Astyanax mexicanus: one gene and its partner. The protein of the gene in region 2 binds, or shares a complex with, the protein of the main gene of each other region. Links are inferred from orthologs where the notes say so. Each region holds a gene or a part of one and is shown on either strand. Other genes may lie near its edges.

Region 1 (7,711 bases), on a different chromosome or scaffold from region 2:
TCTGAGTACAAATACTAATGAGTCCAAGACGAGTCTGAGTACAAATGCTAAGGAGTCCAGGATGTGTCTAAGTCCAAGACGAGTCTGAGTACAAATGCTAAGGAGTCCAGGATGAGTCTGAGTACAAATACTAATGAGTCCAAGACGAGTCTGAGTACAAATACTAATGAGTCCAGGATGAGTCTGAGACCAAGACGAGTCTGAGTACAAATACTAATGAGTCCAAGACGAGTCTGAGTACAAATACTAATGAGTCCAAGATGAGTCTGAGTACAAATGCTAAGGAGTCCAGGATGAGTCTAAGTCCAAGACGAGTCTGAGTACAAATGCTAAGGAGTCCAGGATGAGTCTAAGTCCAAGACGAGTCTGAGTACAAATGCTAAGGAGTCCAGGATGAGTCTGAGTACAAATACTAATGAGTCCAGGATGAGTCTGAGTCCAAGACGAGTCTGAGTACAAATACTAATGAGTCCAAGACGAGTCTGAGTACAAATACTAATACTTTTCTGTAAGTGTACTGAAGTGTACTATGCTGCACTGGTTAAAGTATAATGAACTCTAATGGGATGAGGGAACTAAGTGTAGTGTACTGTACCAGGTTAAGTGTACTATACTGTATGGGGGTGAAAGTACTATACTGTGTTAGGTTAAGTGTTCTATATTATACTGTGTTTTCATGTACTGTACTGTACTGTGTTAAATACACTGTACTGTACTATACTGTACTTGGTTGAGTGCACTACACTGTACTTGTTTGAATGTACTACATTGTGCCAGGTTAAGTGCATTACACTGTACTGGGCTGAATGTACTGTACTGTACTCTGTTAACCCTTGCCCCTCCCTGCAGGTTGTCTGTCAGGTGGTTATGTAAGCTGCAGGTATGATGCAGTGAGTCAGTGACTCATTTGATTCACACTCTGAATCAGTCACTCAGAGCTCTGCCAGTCAGACTGAGAGAGACTTGCCATTACTGAACCACTGTACTATTCTCATACACTGACAGGCCACCCGTCATGAATCAGGAACTGGAATAGGGTCCCATGACTTTTGCTATGTCCCATGGAAGTTAAAGAACGCTGCACTGACCTGTGGGATAAGTGTTGGGTTCTCCCGCATTTAATGTGTCTGTTTACAGGTTAATTGTAGCTAGAGGCCACTGGTCCCTATCATTACCACCCACTGCACTGTCCACTGCAGGTTGTAATGCCCTATCTAATGTGTTCTCTGTACACACTTGACATTGTGGGTAGAGGAATGTTAAAACCCTGAACAACTTCAGAAATGGAATGTCCTATCCATCTGCACCCACCATCAGGCCTCTCACAGTTTCTGGGCGTTCCCAAGCCGCCCCCTGAGGAAACGCTTCATTAACAATTTACATACTGATGTCCCATGACTAATGGCATGTCAGTATATCCCAGTATAGTGTGTGCAGTATATCAGTAACTTTACAGGAGAAGGAAACCAATTTCCTAACGTCAAATGGATGTGAGCAATTTTGGAGCATTCCTATTGGTTCATTCATCATCAAATTCTGCTAAATTATAAACAACAACTGCAAATAGAATATGAACAACAACTGAAGTGCAAACACACACACAAACTGCTTGTCTAAATGCCTGTAGTAGAGAAATACTGCAGATAGAATAGGACTCTCTGGAGAAGATAAATTAACATGTACCTACTGGCACCATGCCAAATGGCAGGCATGGGCTAGAGAGGAGAAATCCCCCCAGAATTGAGCTTTGGAGAAATAGAACTGTGTTCTCTTGACTTACATATGGTGCTTCTTTCAGTACTTTTGAGACAAGTTGTCCAACTGTCCAAACTAATCATCTAATCAACATCAGAACCTGACCCTACTAATACTCTCACTCTCTTGGGGTAAAATACACTCTTGGGGTAAAATACGCTCTTGGGGTAAAATACAACCAACCAAAAATGCATTAATGAAATTATCCAACATCTAGTGTAAAGCATTCCCAGAAGAGAGACAGACTCATAGTTCATACCATTAATTTCAGGAGGAAAAACAGGGTGTCCGAAAACTTTTGGCCATCTAGTATGCACTCCACTTACTGGCATGTAATGCAAACTATTGCCTCACCATTTAGAACGGTGCGAACTGCATGCTTATCTAATAATAAAGCTTCAAGTACTGGATGACGCTTTATCAGCTAATACTTTAAGAACGATCCCCAACATCCTGACTTTACTACTTGCAGAGCTTGTGGCTGAATGCAATCAAATCCTCAAGGCAATGCTTCAAATCTACAGTTACTACTCCTTTACTCTTATTTTTTTTGCCAGATAATGTAATACAATGTAAACAATGATTTAGCAGGCAGCCCAATACTTTTGGCTATGTAGTGTACATCACAACTGTCCTATACAATTCTCTGACTCGGTTTGTCTCATTTGGTTTGTCTCCAAACCTGGAAAACCTTTTAATGAGGGAGAGAACCAACTAAGCATTTTAAAGAACCTTTTTTTGCTTAAGGAATGTCAAAGCTAATGTTTCTGACAGGTAAGGGAGCTGCCAGAGCTGACTCTCCACCTGTTTGGTTTGTGGAATAGTTCCCCGCTGAAATGAACACACACACACATTCACTCACTCACACACACTCAATCACACACACTCGGAGGTGTGTGGCAGTGCTGAAAGTGGAGGTTGGCACTCACTTGCCCAGTTCTTCGAACAGCTGATACTCCTCAGTGAAGCGGGTGCAGGTGATGGTGGCCATGCTGCTCCAGGTGCTTCAGGTCAGGCTGCCTGCGCGAGAGTCAGTGCGCGAGAGTGTGTGGGTGTGTGTGCGTGAGTGTGTGTGTGTGTGTGTGTGTGTGTGTTGTTTTTCTCCTCTTTTGTTTGAGCTGGAAGCGTCTGAGAGGAAGGAGAGGAGGAAGATGGGAAGCCTGTTGGCGCGGGGAAAAGAAGAGGGTCGCTCAGCCCTGTGGACGAGAGAGCACTGTGAGAGTGGAGGAGAGAGAGAGTGAGAGTGAGAGGGGGAGAGAGTGAGAGTGAGAGAGAGAGAGAGATAGATAAAGAGGAAACGATGACTGACAGCTTTTCTCTTTTTATGGCTCGCCCGCTCTGTCTGCGCCGTCCAATCACAGCCTGCGCTGATGCTCCTGAATACACAGCCCCGTTGTCAGGGGCAACTGCATCCCTCCTCCACCTCCATCTCCACCTCCGCCTCCACCCACTCCTCCTGCTCTCCGGGTAGCGCCAGGATGAACTAGTGCCACACGCTTACATCCAGAACAGTGGAATACACCCACACACACCTTCACACACTCTCTCACACACACCATAATCATCTTCATATTTTCAGCACACTGGATTATCTCCTTCTCTGTCACAACTGAAACTGTAACAACCACCACAGCCACCCCCCCACACCGACCTGCCGTCACCCACACCCACCCACAGCCTGGGCTGACCCCGCCTTTCCACTGTGACATCCTGCTATTCACAGTCACAACCTCTATCTCTTTATCTGCTCATCTTTCACTTAGACTGGAGCTTACATAACATACACACTGTAATACACACTGCAATACACGCTGTATAGTGTAATGCACACTGTAATACATACCGCACATTGCAATACACACTGTAATACTGTAATGCACAGTGCACTGTATGAGACACCCACTGTAATTCACAGTACAAAACACTTGAAAAAAAAAGCTAAAATATTGCAATTGTCACACCTTAACCCGTGTCTGTCTTGTGTCTCCTTTTTTTGTCTCATGTTCTCCTGTCTGTCCTCTGTTCTCATTTTTAGTGTTCCTAGCCATGTGCTCTTTAAGCACATTGCCCTGTTTTGTTATTGTTCTGTCTCTGCCCTAGCCCCACATGTCTTGTTTGTTACCCCATCCCCTTGTTACCAGTCCCAGGTGTTCTTCACCCTCATCCTGTATTTAAGCCCCTTTTATTCAATGTTCCTTGCCGAGTCTTTTGTTTGCTTTGTGTGCTCCATGTTGGGTTTGTGTAAACATAGTCTTGTCCGAGTTCTTTCTTGTTTTCTTAGTTTTGATTTATATATACAGTTTTGTTATCTTTTGTCTTTATGGTTTAGTTTGCTTTGTCTTGTTTATTTAATGCATTACACATGCTACAATACACACTATAATACACAGTGCACTATAGACTATAGACTAACACATTACAATGCACACTTTAATACTCACTGCATTAAAATATACACTGCAGGTCTGCAACAGACACTGCACCAAAATACACAATGCACTGTAATACAGCAATATAGACTAGAATTTTCAATACATTAAAATACACAATTTAATACTCACTGCACTCGAATACACACTGCCATACACACTGCACTGAAATACACACTGCACTGTAGGCTAATACTGGAATATACCAGTGGTGTGCAGTGAGCCCTTCTAACCCTTCAGAGAAGGGGCGACAAAAAGTGCATGTAAATAATTACATATTTTTTTATCAGGAAGTATATAATTATTGTAAGTGTAAGCAATTATTTTATAAATTAACTAAAATACAAAACAGCAACTAACTTAAAGCATTAGTTTGTGTTTTTCAGTTGCTACAGGACTCTTATCTAACTGAAAGTGGTTTTAACCAATCAAAGCTTTTTAAAATAGCTTCTGCTCGTGGACCCTTCTGCTGATTTTTCGAAGAGTGTAGTAATGAGTCTATTAGCAAAGTCATAGGACAATCTAACCAATCAGATTCATGATTTTTACTCCGGGGGCGGGGCCATGGCTGTCTAACCCCTTCTCAGCGCTAGGAAGAAGTGGTTACGCTACGTGCATTGATTAGTCGTAAAACGGAGCGCGCGTGCTGGATTAATTAAATATTTAGCTAACTATCATGTAGATAAGACAGATATTATGTCATATTATATTAAAAAGCACTTTTAAAGGCTGCCCTTCAACGTGAAACTAAGTAATAGGCTGCCTGACTGGTGAGTTTTATGTGTAGTTAATGTTTTGGCTGCTCTGGCGTCCTGAAGGCATACAAATGAGTGATATTTGTTGAACGCCTGTGCTTGTTGGAACATTAAGCATTGATTGTTGGGTCTATTGTATGTTTTTGAGGTTTGTAGCTGTATTTGTGGGCTGTTTATGTGTATTAAGTTCATATAACTCAGTCAAGACAGAGAATATATAGTTATTGTAGTATTTATCAATGTGTCATGGACACAGAAAATAAAAAAAGTGATTAAGCTGAAAAATATAATTTCTTTCTGTCTTATCTGAACTTTTCTAAGTATGATAGAGAGTCAAAAAATGAAATTACTAAAAGGAATTATTAATATTATTATATCATATTATATTGTACTATATTTATGTAAAAAATAACATTTATTTTTATAATTCCTGATAAAATGACACAAACACCCAATCTAAATAAATCTGGATTTGATATTTAAACAACTAATAGCAATGACGGATCTGCCACTGGGCTGCTCCTGTCTCTCTGCTTTAATAAGGATATCTGCGGTGTACAGACTCTCCACTAGAGTGCATCATAAGCAGTCAAACACTGTCATCCCGTCTCATTATCAGTCAATCTGAAATACTGCCCATCTCCAGATACTGAAATACTGCTTACATCATCCGCAATAACCAGAGCTCTGTATCCCAAAAGCATGTTAGCATTAAAAGCATCTTAACATGGAGAGAGAGAGAGAGAGAGAGAGAGAGAGAGAGAGAGAGAGAGAGAGAGAGAGAGAGAGAGAGAGAGAGTGCTCAATGTAAAGCTCGCTCGACCATGTACAAATTATCTTACTGCTAAAAACCTTTTGGGAAACCCACCTTAGATCAGATGTGTTATTAATCACTAACAGTTTATCATTGATAATAACTAACATCAGTGTGACTGACTATAACTATGTGACTGGGGAAATTAATAAAAGGGGAGGGGCTTAAGTAAACACTGACATCCTCCTTTCAGCCTTTTTTAAAATTAAAGCAGCTCAATAGATCAGAAACATCACAGCTATATTGTTGTTACTGGTTGAGTGTGCAATATTCTATAATGCAGCACCATTTACAGCTTCATCAGTTCTTGATTTTATCTGTTTTACCTATTTTATTTTTCATAAAAAAAAATATTATAATGGAGAAAGATTATAAATTGGTTATATGAATATCATAATGAGATTTAATCATTTAAAATTAGCTGATGAATATACAGTACTCATTTAATGTTTTAATTAAATTTACATTCTACATTATAGATTAAAAATATGGTATGTGTGAACATTTTGTCTGTACTATACAGCTCTGAAAAAAATAAGAGACCACTTAAAAATAATGATTTTCTTTGATTTGACCAAATTAAAAAAAGCTCTGGAATATAATAAAGAGGAAGATGGATAAACACAAGCCATTAAGCTGAACTGCTTGAATTTTTGCACCAGGAGTGGCATAAAGTTGTCCAAAAGCAGTGTGTAAGACTGGTGGAGGAGAACATGATGCCAAGATGCATAAAAACTGTGATTAAAAACAGGGTTATTCCACTAAATATTATTTTTTTAACTCTTAAAACTTTATAATATAAAATTGATGTTCTAGCTGTTTCTTTGCATTATTTGAGGCCTGAAAGCTCTGCATCTTTTATTTTGTTATTTCAGCTATTTCTCATTTTCTGCAAACGAATGCTCTAAATGACAATATTTTTATTTGGAATTTGGGAGAAATGTCTGTAGTTTATAGTATAAAAAAATGTTCATTTTACCAAAAAAATATACCTATAAATAGCAAAATCGGAACAACTGATTCAGAAAAAGAAGTGGCCCCTTAATTTTTTCCAGAGCTGTATATTTTAAAATATATGTGCAGACTCTGCACGACAGTAACTCTGTGCTGTATGTGTATATATATATTTTAAACCTTTTTAATTTAGTTTAATTTTAATTCAAACCAGTTAACAAACCCACTCACTTTGACTCCTCCAATCACTGCAATACTCTCAACACAAGGATGGTTAGAAATGGGCATGCCTCCTTCAATAAATGTGAAGTAGGGTCCCACCTCTTTTGCAACTACCCCAGTGGAGCATCACCAGGCAGCCAGAGATCTCAGAGGAAAGCATCAGATCCCCAGCAATGATACATCAGCCATTAGACACCTGTGCCAGCCAGTATCACAATGAGGGGAGAGAGAGTGAGTGATTTTGTAATTAAAATATAGATTTTATAGAAGTATAGGATTTTTAATATGGTCACTAATTTGCCAATTATGTCACAAGTTGTGTAAAAACAACATATATAACTGACAAAACACCACACTATGCAGCTCTTCCAGTAGGTGGAAGCAGAAACACTTTTAGTTATTAACAGATGCGATAGTTCAGCATACATACTAATTAATACTAATTAATTCATACTAATTAATCCTGGCACTGGACTTAAACTTCACCCCACAGTAGATCACACCTGGTCCAGGTAATAAAGGCCTTCAGATTCTTACCCTACAGTGTTATGGATCCTGCTGTATCATAATGATCATGTTTTTGACATTATGGCAGTATTTTTTAAGTGTGTTCAGTGATGATTAAACATTGTTGAAATGTTTAATGAAGATCAGATTCTGTCTGATCTGCTGCACTCAGGATAAAGAGTAGAAAACTGTGAGGAATCTCTCTGAACTGTGGCTTTTATATTTCCACAGTCAGCAACAGTGGTGTTGATCTGAGCCAGTACTGGAACTCCAAG
Region 2 (8,249 bases):
TGCCTAGCCAGCGGAGGGGAAGCCATTTATCTCTGGACAGCCACAAGACCCATCATACAAACATCAGTCTACTGGTCCTGCCAGTCAGCCTTTGTTCAGCCATCAAGGCTTCTTCCCCTCTCATTGCTCCAGCAGAGATAGACACAGCCACACCTAATCTGCTTACACCTGTCCAGCAGGTTATCTACCATTCACACACATTCCGGGATACGGCCGGGCAGCGTATAGCGAAAGGGTAATAGTATTGCCCCACGCGACTCCTGAGGGAGGAAATTTGCGGCGATGGCCGTCCCTCTGTAGCAGATATCAGTTAACTTGTCTAGAGGACATATCCATGCTGTGTCAGTCAATGAGAGAGAATACCACAACTTCAAGGGTAATCCTGTGTTAATATCACCAAACCGCAGCAGGAATTTGTGAAAAAAAAGATTGAAAAGATATCAACCAGTTAGGGCTGGGCAACACTGTATAAAATAAAATCTCAATATACTGCAAATACAGCTCTGGAAAAAAATAAGAGAGCACTTAAAAATGATGGATTTCTTTCATTTTACCAAATTGAAAACCTCTGGAATATAATCAAGAGGAAGATGGATGATCACAAGCCATCAAACCAAGCTGAACTGCTTAAATTTTGCACCAGGAATTTTGGCATTAAGTTATCCAAAAGCAGTGTGTAAGACTGGTGCAGGAGAACATGACAAGATGCATGAGAACTGATTAAAAACCTGGGTTATTCCACCCAATATTGATTTCTGAACTCTTAAAAACTTAAAATGAATACTAACTTTTTTCTTTGCATTATTTGAGGTCTGAAAGACTTTTGCATTTTCTACAAAAAAATGCTCTAAATGACAATGTTTTATTTGGAATTTGGGAGAAATGTTGTTGGTACTTTATAGAATAAAACAACAATGTTCATTTTACTCAAACATATACCTATAAATAGCAAAATCAGAGAAACTGATCTTCTATTTTTTCCAGAGCTGTATAGTAAGGGGTGACAATGGTGATGCTTTTTAATTAATAACACTGTGTGCCCATGTTCATTCATAAATATAGAAAACTGGGCAGCACCCAATTGTAGCCTGCTGTGTGTGTGTGTATGCTTTATGCTTGTACAATAAAACAATAATACATTTTCCCAAATGTTCATAAAACAGAAACCCAAGCCAAGAATATTATCTATTACTATTCTCAATTCATACCAGCAGTGACTTTAACATAATATGTGCATGGATGTGTGGGTGGAAAAAAATTCCACGCAAGTGAATTAAATGGAGGAAAGCGATGAAGCTATAAAGCTATTATAGCCTAATAGATTATATAGCGTAAAAGATTAGACTTAGCCAAGCTTGAGAAGCTAAACATGATCAGTTACATATTGGGTCAAGAATTTAAAAACATTTTTTTTTTTTTTAAGAAGAAGAAGCCTTTTAAGATTAGATTAGAGACCTGAAGAACCATAAGCCTGGTCACTGACATCACAGACTTTATGAGCAAATACTGTACCAATATCCCACAATGTGGCTCATCACACCTCTGATTCCTGTTTCCTGTTCCTGAATGACTCCACTGGAATGAATGAGCATCTCAAGGTGGGTAAGACCCACCACATAGGCACCAAGACAATAGCAAACCAATACCAAGCAATATATGCAATCAGCTTTTAGCTTAAACCATGTAAATTATGAAGAGTCCTGGCTTGAAATAAAGGCTACCTGCTAACTGACAAACTGATACATACATACAGCTCTGTAACAAATAAGACACCACTTAAAAATGATGAGTTTCTTTGATTTTACCAAACTGAAAACCTCTGGAATGTATATATATTCAAGAGGTAGATGGATGATCACAATCCATCAAACCCAGCTAAAATCCTTGATTTTTTTTTTGCAACAGGAGTGGCGTAAAGTTATCCAAAAGCAGTGTGTAAGACTGGTGGAGCTAGGAGAACATGCCAAGATGCATGAAAACTCAACAGTCACTAAAAACCAGGGTTACTCCACCAAAAATTTATTTTTGAACTCTTAAAACCTTAAAATGAATATTAACTTGTTTTCTCTTTGCATTATTTGAGGTCTGAAAGCTCTGCATCCTTTTTGTTATTTCAGCCATTTCTTCATTCGGACATTTCTTGCAAATAAATGCTCTAAATAACAATATGTTTATTTGGAATTTGAGAGAAATGTTGTCTGTAGTTTATAGAATAAAACGACAATGATCATTTTACTCAAACATATATCTATAAATAGCAAAATCAGAGAAACTGATTCAGAAACTAAAGTGATCTCTTCCTTTTTTTCCAGAACTGTATATTAGATGTATCTACAGACAGGTAGGTAAGTGAACACTGAAGATGAGGCCATCTGGAGAATGCTCAAGAACCCACAGCACAGCACAGCATGCAGGAATCAGACATCAATGCTATCAAGCACACAGAACTACTTACGCTGAAGCGTTGAGCAATTGTCCATTGGACTGGACTATGTGATCAGAGAGTGTGTTTTATTCCAGCTGGAGTCGTGGTCCTTGGCGCTGGGCTAGAAGAGGAGGAGGGAGTGCTCGCAATCCACAGAGCATCACATCAGTGTTCAGTCTCGAGCTCGCACTGAACGCAGCAGCCCTGCAGCGCCTGCACGGAACGCGCCTGTCTCTCTTAGAATAAAGCAAGAGGAGCAGAGCCACATGATCTCATCTATAGATCTCTATCTGCTCCACACGCTGAGATTTAAAAAAAGAGGAAAAACACTCCAATTATAACCTCACTACTAATGCATATAGATCATATGCATATCAGAGCACGCTGGGCCATGTTTTTCCTCAATCTCCCTGAGAGCAATTGATGAAGTTCATGTTCAATATATATAAAACGCAAACAACTACAATAAATAAATAAAAAATAAATAAAAAAGAATCAGCGTGTGCTGATTTCCTTCTCCCTCGTTTTCAGTCCGTCTTCAGCAGCAGCCATCGTGATATATATCCATGCAGGTGAAGTAGCTAGTAGGACAGAGCAGAGATGAGCTGAGAGCAGAGCGGCCGTGGCTCTTCCTCAGCGCCGTGGACGCAGCGATGCTCCTCTCTCGTGCTGTTTTTTCTCCACCCGTATTCCCCACACGCAGCTCACATAGCCCCGCCCCCATGCGTTGCGATTGGCCAATAACGCGTGCGGTAGAGACGCTTTTCCCAGTCTCAGCGCAGAAGGCGGGCACTGCCAGTGGCGCTGCTAGCCAATCAGAGGGCGAGGCAGATTGTGACGAGAAGTACCTACCAATCACGAGTTTTTAAGCATGTAGGATCAGTGTAACGTTTATCGGTTCAATATTTCTTATTCTGGAATTGTAAAATAAAAAACTGTGAAAAAAAACTTGATTTATTTATTATATTTAGTATAGTGAAAAAGTTTTTTTTTTGTATTTAAAAAAAGATTTTTTTTTTTATTTCTGGAGAAAATAATAAATAAATAAAGATTATTTTAATTCTTTTCTGGTATTCTGATTGTGTGAAATGAAGAAAAAAAGGGAAATAAAGAACAAAACAAAAAAAAAACTACCAAATAATACTACTCCTACTACTACTACTACTACTACTAATAATAATAATAATAATAATAATAATAATAATAATAATAATAACAATAATAATAATAATAATAATAATAATAATAATAATAATAATAATAATGGTTTTATTTATTTATATTCATACCTTTTCTAAAAACTCAGTTATTTACAGTACAGGCACAAACAGAAGGTACAATGCATCAAGGCAATATACAGGCAATATAAAAAAAATCATAAGAGAGGATGCAAAAAGACATAAAAGCAGAGTGAGAAAAAGTGAGAAAAATAGAACTGATAAACGTTACAATGACCCTCTAAATACTACGATAACTACGAACTTAAGCCACTGTACAATCCAACCGTAGCGCTGGGGGCGGAGCTTAGCGGAAAACAGGTGGAGCGAAGCATGCGAAAAGGAACAGAAAAAAAGACAGGAGAGAGAGAGAGCGGAGGAGTGCGGGGGAGGTAAGAGGAGTGGCTGCGTTTGTGTCACTGCGTGATAGAGAGAGAGAGAGAGAGAGAGAGAGAGAGAGAGAGAGAGAGAGAGAGAGAGAGACGAGTAAAGAACAAGATCAGAACCGTGGGACTGCCTCTGTTCTGCTTCTCAAATAAACACACACACACGCCTACATTCACGTTTTACGTTTTTTTTTTGTTTTTTGGACCCTCACTTACATTCTTCTCATTTTTTCTTCATTAGCCTACCAACAACTATGACACTCTACCTTTCAAAGCTATAGGTTACCACTTGGTCCTGATTCGTGTTCAATGTTAAGGCTACCTAACCCTACAAAATCCAAACGTTTGATTTCAGAGATAGCTGAGCAAGCAAGCAAAGAAACCCACAAATGTAATATTGTGTTTAAAATTAAGATAACAAGCATACAATTACGTAGTTTAATGACTATCCCATTTCTCTTTTGGACCCCTACTATTTCTTTTTGAGTGTTTTACAAATCTGATAAGAAGTTGAAGAACTGAATAGCTAACTTCAGCTCACTGCCATCAATAATTTTGTGGTAGACAATATTAAACCTCCTCCTTTTGAAAGTGATCTGATGCCCTATCCTATAGAGCACTGCCAGTATCATGGTATCAGGCTCTTAAAGGGTTGTTAAATTTCTGAGAGTAAGGTTATCAACCACTTTCTTCCCTTGTCCAAGGGGAAAGGGTGACAGCTAAAAACAAGTGGTAGAGGTACACGGGTACAATTGGGATCAGTGATAGGACCATGGGGGGTTAAAAACATGCCATCTCTGGGTGGTACACTGCATATTTGGCCCAGATTGGACCCATGTGAAATTATGGTGGGCTGTATTGATGGAGCCTATTTGGGAGACCCAACTGGGTCCCAATAAAACACACATGCATAAATCCTTTCAGAGCGCGTGCCTACCTAGAATCCACCTAGCCTATCTTCCACCCAGGTGAGCCTTACATAACCATGTTGGCTGGGTAGCATTCTCAACCTGTGTCCCAAATGTTTTTTAGCTTTATTTACTCTGCTTAGGAAGGCCTAATACAGGAGTCACAACATTCTGATACATTTCTGAGATCAGTGTAAATCTCATTATTAACCCACACTAGAGTTTAATAAAGCAAATCCCAACCAGCTCTGTTTACACTGAGCTCTGTTCGGGTGGGAGCTTTATTTCATTATCTATATGTAGCGCATGAAGGCATTTGGGATCCACATTTGGCCTAATAGCATTTGATGTCAACCTCCAGAGAAAGCAAACCATATCTTTTACAGCATTTAAAACTGTAACAGTATGTTTTTCCCCTCAAAGAATAGGGTTTAACTCTCCAGCCCGGCAAGTAGCCTACACACCACACTACACCAATACTAATCTGCAGACAATACTCCTAACCTTAAAGGAGAATGTTAAATTGACTTTTAGTGTAGTAAAACCCGCAGCTTTCCAAGATTCAGGAATTTTGTGCTTTTTGCCCAGCACTCTGTACAAAGATCTGTCTTTGTAAAAGATCATTATTTAAAGGATTTCAGCATAAAAGCAGGTATTTGTAATGTGTGACAGCGTCCTAAATCATTATTACATCTCTGCCCTGTAATAAACCAAACCGTGTGAAAATCAGGTAAACATTGGTAGAATTGTGATTATTATTATTATAGGTGTATTAAACACCTTCCTCGGTGTAAATGAAAAAATGCACTGGGCACCGGCTGCTACACCAGGAGGCAGGCTATGCAGAGTCTATGTAAATATGTCTACAACATTATCAGTACAATGATGGCGGCACTCGAAGATTACCTGCGCTATGTGTTGTAAACAGTGTTTTTTAATAAGCTTTTTGTGCATTTTTAAACTTCTTAATGTCTCGTTTAAAATGTCAGAGCTCTCCTGTTTCTACCAAGGAGGTGTGGAGCTACTTTGAGCCTGGATAACGATGTAAAAAGCGATTTATCAGGGCAAAATATGCCCCAAAGCGGGCGTTGTAAAAAGCGCTGGGCAAAAAGCACAAAATTACTGGATCTCAGAAAGCTGCAGGAGAACAGAAGTGGGCTATTCAACAAAAGTAAGTTATATTTATTATGTTTTCCTACACCAAAAGTCAATTTAAAACTGGAGTTCCTCCTTTAAAACTACACTATTACAACATAACAGTGGATGTTATATGTAAAGCATTTAAACCAACACCAACCTTGATAAATAATGATGAATATTAAATGCTATATATGCTTAAAAATGCAAAATAATGTAGTAAGACGAATCCCAAAAACAACAAAACAGATTTATAGCGTTCCATATCCACACAGTTCCACACAATTGCTCATTATTTTCTACTAAACTGAGGAAATAATCACAACTGAGATATAAAGTAATGAATAAACATAAATAACTGAAATTCTATATACACTGCCTGGCCAAAAAAAAGTCGCCACCTCACTAAATGATGTTGGTCAGGTCTAGGTTCAGCAACAGTATGTGCTGAAAGAATGAGGCCAGCTGACTACCTGAATATACTAAATGTAGACCAGGTTAGTCCAGGTTATTTTTTCTTACTGATGGCACAACCATATTCCAAGATGACAATGTCAGGATTCATGGGGCTGGAATTGTGAAAGAGTGGATCAGGGAGCATGAGATCATCATTTTCACACATGGATTGTTCACCACAAAGTCCAAATCTTAACCACACTGAGAATCTTTGGGATGTGCTGGAGAAGTGCTGCTTTGTGCAGCGGTCAGACTCTACCATCATCAATGCTGAAAGATCTTGGTGAAAAATTAATGCAACACTGGATAGAAATAAATCTTGTGACATTGCAGAAGCTTATCCAAACAATGCCACAGTGAATGCATGCAGCAATCAAAGATAAAGGTGGTCCAATGAAATATTAGGGTGTGTAACCTTTTTTTTGAACAGGCGGTGTACATTAAGTCTCAAACCAACATTCTAATAGACCAGACATGGTTACACTAGAGTATTTTTATGACGTTTTACTCTGAGGACAAGTAAAATGAAAGTGCTCAGGCTGATTCAGACCCAGACTTCTAGGCTTTAAAAATAAATGATCCTGAACTAACTTCATTGGGACATTCTCCACTTATGCAATGACTTCCACTTGAGTTTTTTCGTGTCAAAGCTGACAAGCCAGCATATATGAGTCTATTTCAAACTGCCAGCAGAGCTTCTAAAAGGATTACATGCTCAGCTGGCTCCAGTCTTACAGTGGTATGGCATACATACATATGTGCAGTGGGACAAGTAGGACATCGTACAGAAAATAGAATTGTACAAAGATGTTATGAAATCAGGATTTGTTCCTTCTGTGTTTCATTATTAAACTGAGTTTACTGGAAAGTATGTACAATGTCTAAATTTTGTTAAAGAAATCAACTCCCATTGATTTAATTGATATTTATATTTTAGATTTCATTTATTTTTCCTCGTATATGAAACTGGATTTTTCTTTTCATAGGTAACCAAGCAAGTCAACATTTATGTAAGTCATTATGTAACTGAATCATTCTCATTGAGAATTCAAACACAATTGCAAACATCATGGCTGAAAACTATAAGGTTCTGTAGTTTCTATAATAGAGAGTGATTTTGTATGCAGTGTAAGTTAAACCCTAGGCTAGAATTTATTTCAGAGGTAGACCAATGTGTATTCAAAACAATTTAACAATATTCCTATTTAAATTGTTATACACAGGACAGGCCAAGACAAGAGCAAACATGTGAGTACACTCAGAAGACATACACAGTGAAAAAGTGTGCAAAGATGCCCAGATTGGTGGGCTAAGGGCCTAAGGTTGCCAAACCCGGGTATCAAACCCACAACCTTGACATCGACACAAGACATTTACCATTGTCTTAGATCAAACTTGATCTAAGCTTGATAGTTTGATGCACTGTTGGCTTTTTTGTGTATGTAGTGGTGTTTATTAGCTCTGCTGAGTTGTACTCTGGAGAGGGTTATCCAGTTAGTATTTTTTAAAGGCTTTAATCTGCTTCCTCCACAAGCAGAAACATGTAAGTCTGAGTTGGATACGATAAAAAAAAACCCACCAGAATGTTGACTATAGCACATGGAGCAAAGTTTTACAAGGGTTGTCATGAGGTTCTACAGCTGTGTGAGAAAGACACAGGTACATATTTTCCTCTAGTGATTGAATAAGGAATTGCTGCCGCCAGAGCTGTTGTAATCCT

Evidence for each region.
Region 1: the proteins of lrrc7 (region 2) and camk2a are in contact, whole or in part, in a crystal structure (PDB 6X5G), measured with the Homo sapiens proteins. The link is inferred for Astyanax mexicanus from reciprocal best matches to the Homo sapiens genes LRRC7 and CAMK2A. Residues at the interface, in NP_001357714.1 of Homo sapiens: His843, Gly844, Arg845, Arg846, Pro847, Leu848, Ile849, Arg850, Gln851, Asp852, Arg853, Ile854, Val855; in NP_001350919.1 of Homo sapiens: Glu96, Phe98, Glu99, Ile101, Val102, Lys137, Glu139, Leu159, Phe173, Ala174, Gly175, Thr176, Pro177, Gly178, Tyr179, Leu180, Ile205, Gly209, Tyr210, Pro211, Pro212, Phe213, Trp214, Tyr222, Gln224, Pro233, Glu236.

Annotation. Positions count from the first base shown.
Region 1 is NC_064424.1:33,859,569-33,867,279, forward strand, and holds the start of camk2a (calcium/calmodulin-dependent protein kinase type II subunit alpha), read right to left. Parts: upstream 3,061-7,711; 5' UTR 2,747-3,060; coding exon 2,685-2,746; intron 1-2,684. UniProt on the Homo sapiens protein: Calcium/calmodulin-dependent protein kinase that functions autonomously after Ca(2+)/calmodulin-binding and autophosphorylation, and is involved in various processes, such as synaptic plasticity, neurotransmitter release and long-term potentiation.
Region 2 is NC_064412.1:25,547,414-25,555,662, forward strand, and holds the start of lrrc7 (leucine-rich repeat-containing protein 7), read right to left. Parts: upstream 3,067-8,249; 5' UTR 2,481-3,066; coding exon 2,456-2,480; intron 1-2,455.